Linked DNA regions of Anolis sagrei. The protein of the gene in region 2 interacts with the protein of the main gene of each other region in a pairwise test. Links are inferred from orthologs where the notes say so. Each region holds a gene or a part of one and is shown on either strand. Other genes may lie near its edges.

Region 1 (10,740 bases), on a different chromosome or scaffold from region 2:
AAATAAATATATAGATAAATATAGTCACAGCTCTGGAATAAAAACTATCTTTTCCGCCTATTTGTCCTTGTTTTTATCATACTACATTGTCTGCCAGATGGTAATAATTCCAAACAATATATTCTTGTGATGAGAAACTCCTCAATTCAGACAAGGTAAACAAAGAAAAAAGAATTGAAGTATTCCAGACTTGAGTCCAATCCCAGGAAATCAAGATTCTTGAGCCAAAATCTAGTAAGAACATTTATGGGACATTAAAGTCCATATGAGAAAAGAAAAGAAAAGAAAAGAAAAGAAAAGAAAAGAAAAGAAAAGAAAAGAAAAGAAAAGAAAAGATTCACTCTTGGGGGTGTGAAGATTGATATTCCATAAATCAAAGAGAAAGGTCAGCTTTCAACTAATTTATTAGCAAGAAACAAGATTGGAAGCAAATACATGAAAGTAATCCAAGACCAAGTATTTTATAGGAAAACATACTTAAGAGACCTAAGCCACTAGAAGTTAGCTTACTATTTCAAAAAAAATAACTGGAATCTAGATATGACAGAAAAAAAAACATGAATTATGTTATATTTCCAAAGGTGAACTCTAAAACAATCTTAACGTTAAATTGTCTTAGTGCAACTGACAAATATTTAAGATAGCGTTGTTGTTGGTGCTCATACGGCTGTCTAAATACAATCTGTCTAGTTCAGCTTCCTTTAAAATGTCTGGTACACAAAATATTTGTGCTCATATCATAAGTTGACATGCTGAACTCTACACTGCAATCTGCTTTTCATTTGAAAAGAGTGGCAACAGTTAATTACAAAGCACAGCTTCTGTGACTCAACCATTTTGCATTTAAAGGTGCTTGATCTTTTCCAGAGAAGGAGCATAAAATTTATTTAATTTAACCAACACATATTTGGTTAAAATACTATCAAAAGAGTGACTGGAATCCCTCTGTGTCAGCTGGAAAAGTCACTTTGAAGAAGGTGTTTATTAGGAACATTTTCCATGGTCACAACAGGTGGCTCGAAATGTCTGGGTAAAATCAGCTGCTGCTTATTAGAGAGTAGACACTCCCAACAGGGCAAAACATCAATAAATAGTAGGGATGCCAGGATTTGGAACCGATTTTACATGTTGCGTGCAATTAAATAAAGTACTAAGCTAATTTCTACATGGAACTAATTTTTGTCATATGACATGCAATCCTTACATTTCAACTACTAAGTAATCATAAATATACAGTAGAGTCTCGCTTATCCAACATAAATTCCCGGCAGAAGGTTGGATAAGCGAAAATGTTGTATAATAAGGCAGGATTAAGGAAAAGCCTATTAAACATCAAATTATGTTATGATTTTACAAATTAAGTACCAAATCATTATGTCTTACAACAAATAGACAGAAAAAGCAGTTCTATATACGGTAACGTTATGTAGTCATTACTATATTTACAAATTTAGCACCAAAACATTGCAAAGTATTGAAACATTTGTGGATCTGGATGGGAGGCAGATTGCGTTGGATAATATAGAACGTTGGATGAGCAAAGGTTGGATAAGCGAGACTCTACTGTATAGTTTAAAAGGGATGGAACAGGAAAGTATCTTGACTTCAAATATCCCTTCATAATAATTTTTGGCTGCTCATTTTATAAAAGATAATATAATAACATGTTGGTCAGCAGAAACATGGCCGACTTCCTTTGTTTCAATAGTATAGAATGGAAGACAGACTGACTTATTAATAAAATATTTGAAATATATGCATACAATCTGTTAATCTTGAACTTCAGATTAATGATGACATAAAGAAGAAACCAAAGGAAAAGTGCAAGGAAAACAAAGTTGTTCTGAAGGGGATGTAGTTTTATAATATTTTAAATTGCACTATAGGACTGTAGGTTCCATCTGTAGAGTGTAAATAGACTGAAATATAGCTTTGAAAAAGAGCTGCCACTGCAGCTTAGGGAGTAGCCTTCGTGCCTACCCTCCCTATTCTTTCACACAGCATTCTTGTAAGCAAAAGATAAGCCAGTGCCTGCCAAGCACTTCCCAGCGAGTCAGGGTCACTTGAAAGAGATGTGAACTTTCCAGTTAATTCTAGTTTCTGTTGTTTTCCACCTGTCTGCTTGCTTAGGAATAAAGAGCCAATCCGAAATGTATTAGGCAAGCTTAGACCAATCAAACAGACAATATGTTGACATCAATCAAAATGCACTTTTTGGATTTCTGTAAAACAATAAAAGATTGCGATCCCAATCTTTTGGGGCGCGGTAGTCTTTTCATGTGTAGAGCACAACTGCCGCCATTTGCACGGTCGGCAAATAAAGCTAATCTTCAGAGAGATTCAATTTGTTGTTGTGTCCTTCCATGCCACCCTTCCAAGACAGAAGGGGACTTCTGGGAATGTGCAGAGTGCATGCCCCTTCAATTCCATAAATCCTTTACACTACATTTCAGTATACAGGATGGCTGTTCTATGTAAAATAGGGGTGAATAAACATCTGCAGGGTATAAAATACCCTTTGATGCAAGGCTGAATTGGACGAAGCAAATAACATGCATTTGATAACATTGTTATTTTATTGAAATGAAAACAAATTCACTTGGGTTTTTTTTAAAATAAAAAACTTTTCTCAAGACCTTATTTGAATATTCAAAAACATAACTCATTGTCCTTGTCAAAAAGATGAAATCCTTTCACTTTTATTAAGAAAAAATAAAAGTGGTGAGGAAGAAGACAAAGTGGATGTGGATAAAACACTGATTTTTTTTTTCTACTAGGAAAAAGAGATAAAATTGTTGGCAAACAGGTCAAATAAGCAAAGCAATTTATTGTAAACAGAAATCAAATGTGTTTGTGTGTGAACAATTTATACTAACATTTATCTAGTGCCAAAAGCGACAAACACAGCTGCAGAATATTTGCCCCATGAATTGATAAAAAAGTTAATGTGATCAAAGATGTACATTATTTGCATGCATTGAACATGACAGCCAGGAACTTTTTTTTTCCTTTTGTGATGCAGAAGGATCTGGGCCATTGCAATGAGTGAGGCTGTCCTTTGACTGTCCATGCTGTTTTGTTTGTTTTTTTTCACTTTTCAGGACAACACTGAGAGAATCAAGCACTTTTAGTTAAACACTACCATCTTGTGGTAATTCTAGTGAAAAACCTAAATCTATTCTAGAAATGGCAAAACGAATTCAGTAATGCTCTGGACCTTCACATTCTTATGTTCCAAAACTTGTTCTCAACTAATCCAGTCATAATTTACAAGAGGAAGGAGTCTAAATTATGTTTACATTTTATCACCATAAATTATTACTACCTGCTCAAACTATTGGCATTTGAAAACCTGGTAAAGATGCCTCCAATGCCAAGAACTACCGACCAATCACTCTCATGTGACATTGGTATAAAATATATGAGGGTATGCTATTAAATCAACTAGGCCCTGTTATTGAACCCCAGCTTATTGCACAACAAGCAGGTTTCAGACTAGGGAAAAACTGTACAGCTCAAATTCTTAACTTGACCTAGTATATCAGGGAAGGCTATGAGAAAGATTGTATTACGGGAATAGTTTTTGTGGACCTTATGGCAGCCTATGACATGGTGTAATATAGGAAATTGCTGCATAAAGTCTACCATATCACCTGGGATTACGATTTTATAAAAACTATCCAGACCCTCCTAGAAAACCTCAGCTTCTATATGGAGTCTTAGGGCAGGAAAGGTAGATGGAGAAGGCAAAATAATGATCTACTTCAAGGCAGTGTTCTTGCACATACGCTGTTTAACATTTATACTAATGATTAGCCACAACCACAACTCACAAAGAGCTTTATATACACTGATGACCTTGGCCTAACAACACAAGCAAAGGACTTTGAAACAGTAGAAAACCAACTTACTAATGCCCTGAAAAATCTCTCAGGTGGTTGTCTTTGAAGTATTACACCTGCCAAGACCCAAGTGTGTGCTTTCCACCAACATAATGGTGAAGGCAACAGGAAACTGAAGGTTACCTGGGAAGGCCAAGAACTTGAACACTGTTCCCACCCTAAATATCTCGGCGTTACCTTGGATCAAACACTAACATTTAGGAAACACTGTGCGAACACCAAGCACAAAGTATCTGCACACAATAACATCCTGTCGAAACTTACTAATAGTGCATGGGGTGCAGACCCAAAATTAATAAGAACATCAGCCCTGGCCTTGTCTTACTCAACTGCTGAGTATGCCTGCCTTGTTTGGCACAAGTCTGCCTACATGAAGCAAGTGACTATAGCACTGAATGAGACATGTAGAATAATCACAGGATGTCCCAAATGTACACCTGTTGATAGACTCTATAAGCTATCTGGCATTACCCCCCCCCCCCCAATGTGCAATGGCTGTTGCTAATTACGAGAGAAATAAGGTTGAACACTGAAAACCATGCACTGTATGTTTATTAGTCTCCTCCCTGTAGACTTAAATCAAGGGAAAGTTTCATGAGAACCAACACTCCTCTTAATGCTCCCCAAGAAACAGCAAGAATATCCCTTTGGGCATCTAAACATTAAATCATCTGGGTGTCCCCTGGGCAACGTCCTTGCAGACAGCCAATTCTCTCACACCAGAAGCGACTTGCAGTTTCTCAGGTCGCTCCTGACACGACCAAATCTAAACCAGGAAATCCCAACCGGATGCCCCACCCCCCATGAGGGTCCTCCTCCAGGGGCAAACCAAGAATGAGCAACTTGGAAGTCCCTGAAAAGACTCAGAAGCGGAGTTGGTAGATCAAAAGACAACCTGGGAAAATGGCACTACCTATTAGCATATAGATGCGGAGTTTACTTTGTGTGACTGTGGAGCAGAACAAACAACTCCACATCTAGATGCTTGCCCACGATGTCCTGCCTCATACATAGCAGAAGAACTAGTTAAAGCTACAGACAATGCAGTCTGTTGCCAGTTTTTGGTCTAAAATTATCTAGCTGTTTGTGCTCTTTTTATTTTATCAGTTTTATACTTATTTGTTTATGCAATGCTTTTGACACAAAATAAATAAAACCTGCTCAGACTGTGGAAGAAAAATGAACACATTGTTTACTTTTCTGTCAACCAAAGTCCCACTTCATCAAATTTGTAATGGCATATATCTGATCAAACAAATGTCAGTAGATCCAGTGAAATAAATGGGATTCACAATGGGTTTTCTCTGATTGTAAATAACACAAAGGGGGGAGGAGGACTGTGAACGGTAGACCCAAATTGCACTGTTGTTTCATATTGCAGCTAGCTAATATTGATTGTGCAGATGTGGGCAAACTTGGGCCCTCCAGGTGTTTTGGACTTCAACTCCCACAATTCCTAACAGCCGTCAGGAGAAAAATTGCCTCCAGAACATGGCCATATAGCCCGGAAAAACCTACAACAACCCATGGATTCCGGCCATGAAAGCCTTCCACAATACAGCCGGTAGGCTGTTAGGAATTGTGGAAGTTGAAGTCCAAAACACCTGGAGGGCCCAAGTTTGCCCATGCCTGCTCTAATATATAGTTTCAAGTCACAATCACAACTATAAAAAGGGCCAGCATTAAGGAAAACAATGAGTCCTGAATAAGTACAAAAGTAAATAAACACCTGGTTGCATCAGCTTAGCTAATGGAAATAATTAGAATCAGGTGCATGAACATTTAGATAAATGGGGAAGTTTGTTGGGTGGCATCTCAAAAGGACATTTAATCAACTACCAAACTCACAAATTTTGTATTTTGTCTGTTTGTTTGCTTTGTTGTGTTAGAAATGCAATATAATTTGGCTGGTTGTCCTGACATGACAAATAAATAAAATCTCAAAAGGATCAAAACTTTGGTCATTCTTTCTTTATGTTTCTGTTTGTAAGAGAACTAATTTGGGATTGGCAGATTCCTTAGATATCTTAACTTTACTAATCCTGGAATTCCATATAGCTGGCTGTTAAAAGCAATATTTTAAGTCTTACATCAATTGGGTGGGAAACCGCGGGAAAACTTCATTGAGAAAGCCGCGCATGCGCACATAATAAGAGCTAAAGGCGGCTCAAATGAAATAGAACGTCTCTGTCGTCTTCCTCCGTTTGCGCCTGCGCAGTGAGTCGCCGGCGTCAAGTCTTGCGTCTTGGGACCACGTGACGATGCAGGGGCGGGGCTTTGGATTTTGAAAAGCGTGGCGGGAAGGCCTCTAAAGCTACTGTCTCGTGTTTTGGAAGGGGCGAATTTCCAAGGCTTTGGGGGAGGCCTTCTTCCGGTGGTTTCTCGTTTGGATCCTGACCCTGCTGGCCCTTTTCCTTCCTGCCCGCCATGGCGAAGCAGCAGAGCCGGGAGCAAGGCATCACCCTGCGGGGCAGCGCGGAAATCGTGGCCGAGTTCTTTTGTGAGTCGATTACAAGACTGTGGGGGCGGTTTGACACTATAGTAATTGCTATGGCCGGGTGCTATTGAATTATGGGAGGTGTAGCTTTACAAGGCCTATAGTTCTTTCTGCCAAAGAGTGGTGGTGCCTCAACAAACTACATATCCCACAATTCTGTAGCATTGAGCCATAGCCGTTAAAGTGGATTCGAACTGTATTAATTCAAGTGTAGATCAGGGATGGGCAAACTTGGGCCCTCCAGGTGTTTTGGACTTCAACTCCCACAATTCCTAACAGCCTCAGGCCCTTTCCTTTTCAGGGTGAAAAGGAAAGGGCCTGAGGCTGTTAGAAATTGTGGGAGTTGAAGTCCAAAACACCTGGAGGGCCCAAGTTTGCCCATGCCTGGTGTAGATTGTAAATAGGCCAGGCTGAAGCTGAACTGAGGCCTATTCAGCTGAAACTTTAAAGCAGCCAATGTGTTTCCTGATTCTGTTTGTCTTTCTTCCCTTTCTCTGTCTCCTTTGATATTAAGAAGTATGATAGATAAGGAAAACATGGGAAGAACTCTCTCCAGGGAAGTCTCCTTTGCAATATAAATAGAAATGCCTCCTTAAGAATGTCTAATATTGTGCTATGCTAATAATATATATTGTATATACATATAATATTGATGATAACATTATAATGTAATACAATATTATACTAATAATACTATGATATAATAATTGTGTATTATATATTACAAGTAATATTACTAATATTGCAGTATAGTGGTATAGTACAATATAGTAATATATAATACTAATATTGTGCTATGCTAATATAACATATTGTATGTACATGTAACATTGATCATAATATTGTAATACAATATAATACTAATAATATTGCAGTATAGTGGTATGGTACAATATAGTAATATATAATACTAACATTGTGCTATGCTAATATAATATATTGTATGTACATGTAACATTGATCATAATATTGTAATATAATATAATACTAATAATATTGCAGTATAGTGGTATAGTACAATATAGTAATATATATAATACTAACATTGTGCTATGCTAATATAATGTATGTATGTATAAAATTGATTATAATATTGTTATACAATATAATGCAATATAATAATTATATATTACATGTAATATTACTAATAATATTGCACTGTAGTGGTATAGTACAATATAGTAATATATAATACTAATATTGTGCTATGCTAATAATATAATATACTGTATGTACATGTAACATTGATTATAATATTGTTATACAATATAATGCAATATAATAATTGTATATTGTATATTACATGTAATATTACTAATAATAGTGGTATAGTACAATATAGTAATATATAATACTAATATTGTGCTGTGCTAATAATATAATATACTGTATGTAGATATAACATTGATCATAATATTGTAATACAATATAACACTAATAATACAATATAATATAATAATTATATATCACATGTATTGTTACTAATAATATTGCAGTATAGTGGCATAGTACAATATAGTAATATATAATATTAATATTGTGCCATGCTAATAATATAATCTATTGTATGTACATATAATATTGATCATGATATTGTAATACAATGTAATTCTAATAATAATGCAACATAATTGTATATTATATATTACATGTAATTACTAATAATATTGCAGTTTAGTGGTATATAATACTAATATTGTGCTCAGCTAATATAATATATTATATGTACATATAACATTGATCATAATACTGTAATACAATATAATACTACTAATAATGCAATATTATAATATAATCATATATAATACTGATATTGTGCCATGCTAATAATATAATCTATTGTATGTACATATAATATTGGTCATAATATTGTGATACAATATAATAATACTAATAATAATACAATATAATATAATGATTATATATTGTATGTAATATTACTAATAATATTGCAGTATAGTAGTATAGTACAATATAGTAATATATAATACTTATGTTGTGCTATTCTAATAATATAATATATTGTATGTACATATAACTTGTAAGCTGTTCTGAGTCCCCTTTGGGGTGAGAAGGGCAGGATATAAATGTCGTAAATAAATAAATGTCTTTTAGTATTTGCACATTTATAATAATGATAATATTAAAAAAAACTTTGCTTCAAGATCTACCTCCTTCCCGAAGGGACTCAGGGTGGTTTACAGACACAAAGCAAAAGGCAAACATTCAATGCCCCAAATGAATACAAACACATCAAAATAATACAAGATAAGGCACAGAAACAGCAGCAAACTAAGAGCAAAGAAGTAAGTTGCTCTGAGTCCCCTTCGGGGTGAGAAAGGCTGAAATTAACATAAAGCAATCCAATAAGACACAGTAAACTAAAACATGAGTAAGACATTTCAGTATATACCCTAAAAGCAATTATGACTTCAACTCCCACAATTCCTAACAGCCTTGAAGTCCAAAATACCTGGAGGGCTGAAGTTTGCCTATGCCTGTGTTAGACCTTCTCAACCTAAAAACAAGTCTAGTTGAAATCTGGGGTTTCTGTTACATAGATTATTATTATGTTTATTTATACCCTGCTTTATCTCCCCAAGGAACTCAAAACAGCTTGACATAAAAGCATCAGCATAGCCATTTGAAATATACAAATATACGAACATTAAAGCAGGATTAAATATAAATAGTATTAAAGCATTCCCAATTAAAACAAATCAAAGTTAGATCTCTGTTGGCTTCCACTGTAAATTCATATTAACCCTGCCGTGTCTTTACATTGCTGTCTTCTCCCAGAGTGAGTGTTAGATTTTAATCTTTTGAGTAATAAGAGTTGGCAAAGGCAGTACAGCTTTCTGGGGTTCAGGGCATATTCTTAGAGAAAATACATCTCGTATAGACTAGTTACATCTGTTGGTTTCATCTCGTAATGCACTGTATGTGGGGCTGCTTTTCAAGACTTTTTGGAAGCTTCAACTAGTCTAATGTGTGGTAGCCATATTGCTAACAGGAGTGGCGTACAGAGAGCACACAATCCTCCTGTTATGCCAGCTCCATTGGCTGCCAGCTTGCTACCGAGCACAATTCAAAGCGCTGGCTTTGGTCTATAAAGCCCTTAACGGCCTTGGCCCAGTTTACCTGTCTGAACGCATCTCCCTCTATGAACCATTGCAGAGGCTAAGATCTTCTGGTGAGGCCCTGCTCTCAGTCCCACCACCTTCGCAGGCACGGCTGGTGGAGACAAGAAAGAGGGTCTTCTCAGTGGTGGCCCCTCGGCTGTGGAATTAGATCGGCTTCCCACCTGTCATTTTGCAAACAAATTAAAACTCGGCTTTAGGAGCATAATTACTTGTGCAATATAACTGGAATTGGTTTTGGATTGATGAATATGACTATCTTCATGAATATATGCACAATAGTTGTCTAATGTGTGCATATGTTGCTTTAATGTTGTTTTTAATCGTCGTTTAATTGTTTTTAACTGTTATTCGGGCATGGAATAGTGCCCCTTATGTAAGCCGCCCTGAGTCCCCTTCAGGGTGAGAAGAGTGGGATATAAATATATGCAAGTTAATAAATAAATATTTTAAGTCAAATCTGTGAATAATCAAATGAACAAAAATCTAAACCACAAACATGGAGAGATGAATATATACAACACAGCTAGCCCTCCATAGCCATGGGTTCAATCATCCTAAAAATATTCCCTCCCTCCAAAAAAATAAACAATTCCTAAAAGCAAACCTTGATTTTGCCATGTTATATATGAGATATCTTTTACTACACTATTGTGTATGCCAATATTGCCTTGCCATTTGGAAATACTTAATGGGAAAGAAAAAGAGCATGATGAAGTATTGATTCTTGAATTGTAATAACATGCACTTTTTTTTCTTTCAGCATATGGCATCAATAGTATTTTATACCAACGTGGGATCTATCCTGCTGAAACCTTCACACATGTTCAGAAATATGGGCTCACTATGCTTGTAACAGCAGACTCTGAACTTAAAAACTACTTGAATAACGTCGTGGGGCAATTAAAAGGTACTAGCAGTTGTAATATTGTTATTAAAGGGTGATATACAGTTTTCTGGGTGCCATAAGGTTGCCAAATGCTCCTTACAGGCTTAAGAGAGGTAAAATAAAAGTGGGGGAACAAAAGAACATGTTTATTCGGGCATGAATCCTGGTATCAAATTCCTCTTTTTTCTTTTGCGCCCATGACCTCTATCACTTAGTCACTGCTGCTTCTTTGTCTGCACTTGAATAACTATGCCAGTGGCCAGTTACAAATGGACTTGTAACTTTTTCAGACATGGATTCATGTTTGGTTTG
Region 2 (10,916 bases):
ATTGTTTTTAAGCACAGGCCAAGGTCTTGAGGCACTGCACCCAGTGTGCCGATCACCACTGGGACCCCCTTGACTGGCTTGTGCCAGAGTCTTCGCAGTTCGAGCTTTAAATCCTCATATTGTGTATTATTATTATTATTATTACTATTGTTATTATTAATATTAGGGTGGCCTTTTGCAGCTGACAGTTAGTGATTTTGTCAGCGCCGATTGTTTTTAAGTGCAGGTCATGGTCTTTAGGCACTGCACCCAGTTTGCTGATCACCACTGGGACCACCTTGACCGGCTCGTGCCAGAGTCTTTGCGCTTTGAGCTTTAAATCCTCATATTGTGTTGTATTATTATTATTATTATTATTAGTAGTAGTAGTAGTAGTAGTATTAGGATGGCCTTTTGCAGCTGACAGGTGGTGATTTTGTCAGCGCCGATTGTGTTTAAGTGCAGGCCGAGGGCTTGAGGCACTGCACCCAGTGTGCCGATCACCACTGGGACCGCCTTGTGCCAGAGTCTTTGCAGTTCGAGCTTTAAATCCTCATATTGTGTTGTATTATTACTATTACTATTACTATTACTATTACTATTATTATTATTAGGGTGGCCTTTTGCAGCTGACAGGTGGTGATTTTGTCAGTGCATATTGTTTTTAAGTACAGGCCGAGGTCCTGAGGCACTGCACCCAGTGTGCAGATCACCACTGGGACCCCCTTGACCGGCTTGTGCAGTTCAAGCTTTAAATCCTCATATTGTGTTGTATTATTATTATTACTATTGTTACTATTATTACTATTATTACTATTACTACTACTATTACTACTACTACTATTATTATTATTATTATTATTATTAGGGTGGCCTTTTGCAGCTGACAGGTGGTGATTTTGTCAGTGCATATTGTTTTTAAGTACAGGCCGAGGGCTTGAGGCACTGCACCCAGTGTGCCAATCACCACTGGGACCCCCTTGATCGGCTTGTGCCAGAGTCTTTGCAGTTCGAGCTTTAAATCTTTGCATCGTGTCAGCTTTTCCAGTTGCTTCTCGTCAATTCTGCTGTCACCTGGGATTGCAACATTGACGATCCGCACTTTGTTTTTTTCCATGATCGTAAGTTCAGGAGTCTTGTGCTCCAAAACTCTATTAAGCCTGGATTCGAAACTGCGCACTGGGGAGAGAGTCACATTCTCTCAGCCTTGGAAGGAAGCTATTGCAAGGAGATCTGGCCCGGGGAAACCTTAAGCGAGGGCCGTCCTGAGTCGGGAAGGACTTGAAGGCATGCAACAATAACGGAGGGAGAATCACCCAAAGGCATGGGACCATGATAGAGGAACCATAATAGAAGCTCTGGCTTTATTATGGTTCCACGCCTCTATGCAGAGACCCTCACTGATTGACTTTGCAAACTTCAGAGCTTCTATCTATTTATGGAATGTCCAGGCTCCCTCTATGCAAAATACCCTCAGTGATTGACTTTGCAAACTTCAGGGCTTCTATCTATCTATGGAATGTCCAGGCTCCCTCTATGCAAAATACCCTCAGTGATTGACTTTGCAAACTTCAGGGCTTCTATCTATCTATGGAATGTCCAGGCTCCCTCTATGCAAAATGCCCTCACTGATTGACTTTGCAAACTTCAGGGCTCTTAAAATGCTAATTCAAGCTTACCAACTGCAACAGACAAGGGTTCTTTCTCCCACCCTGTTTGGGAAGTGGCTAGGCTACCTCTATGCAGATATCCTTACTGATTGACTTCGCAAACTTCAGAGCTACTCAAATGCTAATTCAAGCTTGCTAATTGCAACAGGCGAGGGTTCTTTCTCCCATCCTGTTTGGGAGACGGCTAGACTATCTCTAGAGACTCTTACTGATTGACTTCACAAACTTCAGAGCTATGCAAATGCTAATTCAAGCTTGCTAATTGCAACAGGCGAGTGTTCTTTCTCCCACCCGTTTGGGAGCTGGCCAGGCTACCTCTATGCAGAGACCCTCACTGATTGATTTCACAAACTTCGGGGCTACTCAAATGCTAATTCAAGCTTGCTAATTGCAAGATGCAAGGGTTCTTTCTCTCATCCCATCTGGGAGCCGGCTAGGCTACCTCTATGCAGAGACCCTCACTGATTGACTTCACAAACTTTGGGGCTACTCAAATGCTAATTCAAGCTTGCTAATTGCAAGATGCAAGGGTTCTTTCTCTCATCCCATCTGGGAGCCAGCTAGGCTACCTCTATGCAGAGACCCTTACTGATTGACTTTGCAAACTTCAGAGCTACAATTTTGCCTGAAATCAATTGGGCCCCAAAGGCTTGAATACTGAACCCTGCTCCAAAACTCTATGAGGCCTGGATTTGAAACCGCACACTGGGGAGAGAGTCACATTCTCTCAGCCTTGGAAGGAAGCTACTGCAAGGAGATCTGGCCTGGGAAACCTTAAATGTGGGCCGTCCTGAGTTGGGAAGGACTTGAAGGCATGCAACCATAACGGAGGAAGATTATTGTGGGTTTTTTCGGGCTATACGGCCATGTTCTAGAGGCATTTCTCCTGACGTTTCGCCTGCATCTATGACAAGCATCCTCAGAGGTGAGGTCTAGGTTCTTGTGGGTTTTTTCGGGCTATAGGGCCATGTTCTAGAGGCATTTCTCCTCTTGCCATAGATGCAGGCGAAACGTCAGGAGAAATGCCTCTAGAACATGGCCGTATAGCCCGAAAAAACCCACAAGAACTGAGTGATTCCAGCCATGAACGCCTTCGACAATACAATGGAGGAAGACTCACCCAAAGGCTTGGAACCATGACAGAGGAACCATAATAGAAGCTCTGGCTCTATGATGGTTCCACGCCTTTGGGTGAGTCTTCCTCCGTTATTGCTCCATGCCTTCCAGTTATTCTTCCTCGGTTCCATGTTTTCGAGTTATTCTTCCCAAGACTTTGATGGTGCCAACCAGAGGACGTGGAGGACCACCTGCCCCCCAAACCCAGGCCCACCCCAAAGCCTCACCTTGCGTCGCTCATCCGTCTCCCTCTGGATCAGCTTTGAGACGCTCTTGGGCAGGAGGTGCTCCTCCACCACCAAAGTGGGCACGGTTGGGGCCCCAACAGAGAGGGTCCCGGGATCCCCGGCCTCTTTGGGGACCGAGGCCAGGGGGCTGCGGAGGGAGACCGGGCTGGGGGGAGTCCTGTGGGGCCGGACCATAACCGGGAGACCTCCGCCGAGGGAGCGAGCCTGGTGGCTGGACGTAGCTGGGGGCAACACCAGTTGGGAGTGCAAACCGGCGCAGGCACCTCCAAATCCTCCTCCTCTGCGCTGAGGTTGCGGGCTGAAGGGCCCTTGAGGATGGGTCAGCAGTCCAGCCACTTCCAGCCGGGAGTCCAGAGACTGCGGGTGTCGCCCGGCTTCGGCCAGCCGCCCCACAAAGGGGTGCTGGGGGTGGGATTCGGCTTCGGCGTCGTAGAAGTCCCGGCACGTCCAGCGGCCACGCTTGTAAGGCTCCCCGGGACCTGGGTCCAGCTTCACCACCCGGAAGCGCGAGCCGGACACCAGCGACGGAGCGGTCAACGGGGAGGTGGGGGCCGTGGGGCCATTTCTGGCCGCCCCACCGTTGCCGCCGTTGGCCCGCGGGCCAGCGTCCCCTTCTGCTTCCGTCCCAACCTTTGCGGCGTCCGCTCGTCCTTCTTTCTGCTCGTAGTCCGAAGTGACGCTGGTGATCTGGAACCCGCTCTTCTTCTTGCCTCCGCCGCTCATGGTCCTGGGGGCAACGAGGCGGGGGCTTCACCGAGGCGGCACCGTCGTTGTCCTCCTCATCATCATCATCATCGTCCCCAAATCCTGGCGAGGGGAGAGAGGAGGGTGGAATATCAGTATAGTCTAATTCCTATCGTTATGATTAGCAAGACACCAACGCAGTCCTGAAGCCGACCCCATGCCGGGGTCACAACACAAGGGGGTCAAAGGTCAGGGAGACCCCAACAGAGCTTAGAGATAGACAAAGCCTGGCTTGGGGAAGGGGAAGATTGGGGAGGGGGAAAAAAGAGGGTCTGTCTAGGGGAGGCCGCGACCTCGGTTGGCCCAAGGCAAGGCTGTTGACAAGGCGAAGCAACCGAGGAGTGACACCCGAAGCAGCAGAAGCAGCAGCAAGGAAGTCAGTCCGGCCCCTCCTTCCTTCCTTCCGTCAGTCCTTCCTTCCCAACCAGCTGACTGCCTGCCCCTCCCCTCCCCTCCCTTGCCCTCCCCCCAAGGCTGGCCCAGCCCCCCTTAACCCCTTCCTTCCCGGAGCCCAGCAAAGCAAGGCCAAGAAGGCCCAGAGAGAAGAAGCACGCACAGGTATGGGCCAAATTGGGCTCTCCATCCAGGTAGCTTGGACTCCGACTCCCACCATTCCTCACAGCCTCAGGCCCCTTCCTTTTGCCCCTCAGCCGCTTAAGCGGCTGAGGGGCAAAAGGAAGGGGCCTGAGGCTGTGAGGAATGGTGGGAGTCGGAGTCCAAAACACCTGGACGGAGAGCCCAATTTGGCCCATACCTGCCATGCAATGAATACAGTTTCACCCCACATTGCTACATTTATTTACACTTCCTTTTCTCTTTCCCAAAGGGGATTCAAAGTATCTTGACATATAAACATTAGTATACAATGTATTCTTGAAGGCTTTCCTGGGTTGCTGTTGAGTTTTTAAGGTCTGTACTAGCCATGTGCCAGCAGCATTCTCTCCTGATGTTTCACCTACATCTGTGGCTAATGGCATCTTCAGGGGTCTGTTCAGAAGCAAGGGGAGTCTGTCTATCGATTGATCTATCTATCTATTTATCTATCTATGGAATGTCCAGGCTACCTCTATGCAAAATACCAAACTACCCTCACTGTGCAAAATACCCTCACTGATTGACTCCAGCAGCATTCCCTCCTGATGTTTCAATCAGTGGCTAATGGCATCTTCAGAGGTTTGTTCAGAAGCAAGGGGAGTCTGGCTGTCTATCTATCTATGGAATGTCTGGGCTACCTCTTTGCAAAATACCAAACTACCCCTGTGCAAAATACCCTCACGGGTTGACTTTGCAAACTTCAGGGCTCCGCAAATGCCGATTCAAGCTTGCCAATTGCAACAGACAAGGGTTCTTTCCTCCCACCCTGTTTGGGAGGCACTGACTTTGCAAACTATCTATGGAATGTCCAGGCTACCTGTATGCAAAATACCCTCAATGATTGACTTTGCAAACTTCAGGACTTCTATCAATCTATGGAATGCCCCGTTTGGGAACCGGCTAGGCTACCTCTATGCAAAGACTCTCACTGATTGACTTTGCAAACTTCAGAGCTACTCAAATAGTAATTCAAGCTTGCTCATTGCAACAGGCAAGGGTTTTTTCTCCCACCCCGTTTGGGAACCGGCTAGGCTACCTCTATGCAAAGACTCTCACTGATTGACTTTGCAAACTTCAGAGCTACTCAAATAGTAATTCAAGCTTGCTCATTGCAACAGGCAAGGGTTTTTTCTCCCACCCCGTTTGGGAACCGGCTAGGCTACCTCTATGCAAAGACTCTCACTGATTGACTTTGCAAACTTCAGAGCTACTCAAATGGTAATTCAAGCTTGCTAATTGCAACAGGCAAGGGTTCTTTCTCCCACCCTGTTTGGGAGATGGCTAGTCTACCTCCACGCAGAGACCCTCACTGATTGACTTTGCAAACTTCAGGGCACATGTCTGTGTTTTGGATGAGTTGGGGACTCGGTGCGGCTTACGTGAGGCCGAGCCCAAATTACATCAGTAATCAAAACAATAACAACAACAATAATAATGGCATCTTCAGAGGTTTGTTCGGAAGCAAGGGGAGTCTGTCTATCCATCTATGAAAATGTCCAGGCTAGGTGCAAAATATCCGTGAAGGTATAGAGGTCTAAGCAAAATACCAAACTAACCCTGTGCAAAATACCCTCACTGATTGACTTTGCAGACTTCAGGGCTCCGCAAATACCGATTCAAGCTTGTCAATTACAACAGACAAGGGTTCTTTCCTCCCACCCTGTTTGGGAGGCATTGACTTTGCAAACTTCAGGGCTTTTATCCAACTATGGAATGTTCGGGCTACCTCTATGCAAAATACCCTCACTGACTGACTTTGCAAACTTCAGAGCTATGCAAATGCTAATTCAAGTTTGCTAATTGCAACAGACAAGGGTTCTTTCTCCCACCCTGTTTGGGAGATGGCTAGGCTACCTCCATGCAGAGACCCTCGCTGATTGACTTTGCAGCTTCCTGGCTACTTAATGCTAATCAAGCTCACTAATTGCAACATCTACCCTTGCTTCACAAAGACACGGGCTTAAGCGGCGGAGGGGGAAAAGGAAGGGGCCTGAGGCTGTGAGGAATGGTGGGAGTCGGAGTCCAAAACACCTGGACGGAGGGACCAATTTGGCCCATACCTGCCATGCAATGAATACAGTTTCACCCCACATTGCTACATTTATTTACACTTCTTTCTCTTTCCCAAAGGGGATTCAAAGTATCTTGACATATAAACATTAGTATACAGTGTGTTCTTGAAGGCTTTCCTGGGTGGAAGGCAAAAGGAAGAGGGGCCGACCAAGGGCAAGACGGATGGATGGCATCCTTGAAGTGACTGGACTGACCTTGAAGGAGCTGGGGGTGGTGACGGCCGACAGGGAGCTCTGGCGTGGGCTGGTCCATGAGGTCACGAAGAGTCGGAGACGACTGAACGAATGAACACACATACAATGTGTTCTTGAAGGCTTTCCTGGGTTGCTGTTGAGTTTTTAAGGTCTGTACTAGCCATGTGCCAGCAGCATTCTCTCCTGATGTTTCACCTACATCTGTGGCTAATGGCATCTTCAGGGGTCTGTTCAGAAGCAAGGGGAGTCTGTCTATCGATTGATCTATCTATTTATCTATCTGTGAAATATCCAGGCTAACTCCATGCAAATACCCTCACTGGTTGACTTTGCAAACTTCAGGGCTTCTATCTATCTATGGAATGCCCAGGCTACCTCTATGCAAACTACCCTCACTGATTGACTTTGCAAACTTCAGGGCTACTCAAATGCTAATTCAAGCTTGCTCATTGCAACAGACAAGGGTTCTTTCTCCTACCCCGTTTGAGAGCTGGCTAGGCTACCTCTATGAAGAGACCCTCACTGATTGACTTTGCAAACTTCAGAGCTACTTAAATGGTAATTCAAGCTTGCTAATTGCAACAGGCAAGGGTTTTTCTCCCACCCTGTTTGGGAACCGGCTAGGCTACCTCTATGCAAAGACTCTCACTGATTGACTTTGCAAACTTCAGAGCTACTTAAATGGTAATTCAAGCTTGCTAATTGCAACAGGCAAGGGTTCTTTCTCCCACCCTGTTTGGGAGATGGCTAGGCTACCTCCATGCAGAGACCCTCACTGATTGACTTTGCAAACTTCAGAGCTACTTAAATGGTAATTCAAGCTTGCTAATTGCAACAGGCAAGGGTTCTTTCTCCCACCCTGTTTGGGAGATGGCTAGGCTACCTCCATGCAGAGACCCTCACTGATTGACTTTGCAAACTTCAGAGCACATGTCTGTGTTTTGGATGGGTTGGGGACTCAGTGCGGCTTACGTGAGGCCGAGCCCACAATACATCAGTAATCAAAACAATAATAACAACAACAATAATTGCATCTTCAGAGGTTTGTTCGGAAGCAAGGGGAGTCTGTCTATCCATCTATGAAAATGTCCAGGCTAGGTGCAAAATACCCGTGAAGGTATTTTGCACAGGGTTAGTTTGGTATTTTGCATAGAGGTCTATACAAAATACCAAACTAACCCTGTGCAAAATACCTTCACGGGTTGACTTTGCAAACTTCAGGGCTCCGCAAATGCTAATTCAAGCTTGCCAATTGCAACAGACAAGGGTTCTTTCTCGCACCCTGTTTGGGAGGCATTGACTTTGCCAACTTCAGGGTTTTTATCTATTTCTGGAATATCCAGGCTACCTATATGCAAAATACCAAACTACCTCTGTGCAAAAATACCCTCACTGATTGACTTTGCAAACTTCTGGGCTTTTATCCATCTATGGAATGTCAAGGCTACCTCTATGCAAAATAGCCTCACTGGTTGACTTTGCAAACTTCAGGGCTTTCTCCTATCTATGGAATGTCCAGGCTACCTCTATGCAAAATACCCTCACTGATTGACTTTGCAAACTTCTGGGCTTTTATCTATCTATGGAATGTCCAGGCTACCTCTATGCAAAATAGCCTCACTGGTTGACTTTGCAAACTTCAGGGCTTTCTCCTATCTATGGAATGTCCGGGCTACCTCTATGCAAAATAGCCTCACTGGTTGACTTTGCAAACTTCAGGGCTTCTATCTATCTATGGAATGTCCAGGCTACCTCTATGCAAAATACCCTCACTGATTGACTTTGCAAACTTCAGGACTTTTTTTCTATCTATGGAATGTCCGGGCTGCCTCTATGCAAAATACCCTCACTGATTGACTTTGCAAACTTCAGGACTTTTTTTCTATCTATGGAATGTCCAGGCTACCTCTATGCAAAGTATCCTCAGTGATTGACTTTGCAGACTTCAGGGCTTTTATCTATGGAATGTGCAGGCTACCTCTGTGCAAAGTACCCTCACTGATTGCTAATGCTAATTCAAGCTTGCCAATTGCAACAGATAAGGGTTTTTTCTCCCACCCTTTTGGGGAGACAGCTAGGCTACCTCTATGCAGATACCCTCACTGATTGACTTTGCAAACTTCAGAGCTACTCAAATGCTAATTAAAGCTTGCTAATTGCAACAGGCAAGGATTCTTTCTCTCACCCTGTTTGGGAAGTGGCTAGGCTACATCTATGCAGATACCCTCAGTGATTGACTTTGCAAACTTCAGAGCTACTCAAATCGTAATTCAAGCTTGCTAATTGCAACAAGCAAGGGTTCTTTCTCCCACCCTGTTTGGGAGACAGCTAGGCTACCTCTATGCAAAATACCCTCACTGATTGACTTTGCAAACTTCAGAGCTACGCAAATGCTAATTCAAGTTTGCTAATTGCAATAGATAAGGGTTCTTTCTCCCACCCTGTTTGGGAGATGTCTAGGCTACCTCTATGCAGATACCCTTACTAATGGACTTTGCAGCTACCTGGCTACTCAATGCTAATCAAGCTCACTAATTGCAACATCCACCCTTGCTTCACACAGGCAAGGGTTCTTTCTCTCACCCTGGACATTATTCCACAGAGATATATACACTCCACTTGCTTCATGACCTCTATGCAGATCCCCTCACTGATTGACTTTGCAGCTGCAAGGCTACTCAATGCTATTCAAGCTGGCTAATTGCAACATTCACACTTGCTTCACGCAGACAAGGGTTCTTTCTCCCACCCTGGGCATCATTCCACAGGTACATTATTTACACTCCACTTGCCTCACAGCCAACAGAACCTCTGAAGACTCCATTAGCCACAGATGCAGGTGAAACGTCAGGAGACAATGCTACTGGAACTTGGCCAGACAGCTCGAAAAGCATATAGCCTTGAGTCAAAAGGCCTCCAACTGCACACAATGTAGACCAGGCATGGGCCAACTTCGGCCCTCTGGGTGTTTTGGACTCCAACTCCCACAATTCCTAACAGCCGGTAGGCTGTTAGGAATTGTGGGAGTTGAAGTCCAAAACACCCAGAGGGCCGAAGTTGGGCAATGCCTGGTGTAGACGCACCTTCAGAAATGTGCTAACTCAACCCATCCCTTTGGGGTCCTTTTGACCTCAGGGTCCCTCTCATTGAGGCTGGACTAGATGCCCTCTGAGTGACCCCCTCCCACTCTACCTCTGGGAAGAGATTACACCCAAACACACACACACAACACACACCAAGGCCGAGGTGCTAGAAGGCTAATCCGTCTCAAACGGGGAAATAACGGGATTAAGACCGGGATCGGAAGCAAGGCAGCGGGGATTATATCCCAGGGAACAAGGCCGCCGTCTGGGATCGGGGTCAAGAGGGCAGCTGAGGGATTGGCTTCATGCGCTGGCCCTTTAAGGCAGGGAGGCCTGGGACCCCAACCTATGGGGTCTAGGTATTTTAACTGGGTTGCATCCTCCATATATCAATATTATAATGATAATGATGGTGATTATTGTGTTGTCGAAGGCTTTCATGGCCGGAATCACTGGGTTGTTGTAATTTTTTTCAGGCTATATGGCCATGTTCTAGAAGCATTCTCTCCTGACGTTTCGCCTGCATCTATGGCAAGCATCCTCAGAGGTAGTGAGGTCTGTTGGAAGTAGAAAAAAAGGGTTTATATATCACTACCTCTGAGGAAACAAACAAGGATATCCAATCACCTCTCAACAAAAGATTGCTCCATGCACTGCCAGGCCATCAAACGCTAATCAAAGTGGTCAGTTGAAACATTTATTTATTTATTTGTTTACTTTATTTATATACCGCTTTTCTCAGCCCTCAGGCAACTCAAAGCAATGAACAACATCAATACAAAACATCATGAGACTAGTATAGGGCAATTAAAAACAATTGTAACATAAATCATTAAACATCCATATAACAATCATTAGCCCCTAGCTCCAACAGACAAGAGTTCTTTGTCCACTCTGGTCATTCCACAGATATATAAACCCATTTTTCGTGGTTCCAACAGACTTCACTACTTCTGAGGATGCTTGCCATAGATGTAGGCAAAATGTCAGGAGAGAATGCCTCTAGAACATGGCCATATAGCCCGAAAAAACCTACAACAACCCACGATTATTATTATTATTATTGTTGTTGTTGTTATTGTTATTGTTATTAATAGATAGATCTGTTTATTGATTAGTCCACTGATCATATCAATAGTAAAAGACAAAAAGGCTATAACTATCCTAAATCACTATCCTAAAGCTCCTGTGTTGTTGTTGTTGTTGTTGTTGTTG

What was found.
Region 1: the proteins of TSC22D4 (region 2) and MAD2L1 interact in binary tests that used the Homo sapiens proteins (3 or more experiments, as listed by UniProt). The two-hybrid records come from large-scale screens. The link is inferred for Anolis sagrei from reciprocal best matches to the Homo sapiens genes TSC22D4 and MAD2L1.

Annotation. Positions count from the first base shown.
Region 1 is NC_090025.1:35,718,537-35,729,276, reverse strand, and holds the start of MAD2L1 (mitotic spindle assembly checkpoint protein MAD2A), read left to right. Parts: upstream 1-6,148; 5' UTR 6,149-6,329; coding exon 6,330-6,402; intron 6,403-10,302; coding exon 10,303-10,449; intron 10,450-10,740. UniProt on the Homo sapiens protein: Component of the spindle-assembly checkpoint that prevents the onset of anaphase until all chromosomes are properly aligned at the metaphase plate.
Region 2 is NC_090026.1:2,041,301-2,052,216, reverse strand, and holds the start of TSC22D4 (TSC22 domain family protein 4), read right to left. Parts: upstream 4,182-10,916; 5' UTR 3,737-4,181; coding exon 2,993-3,736; intron 1-2,992.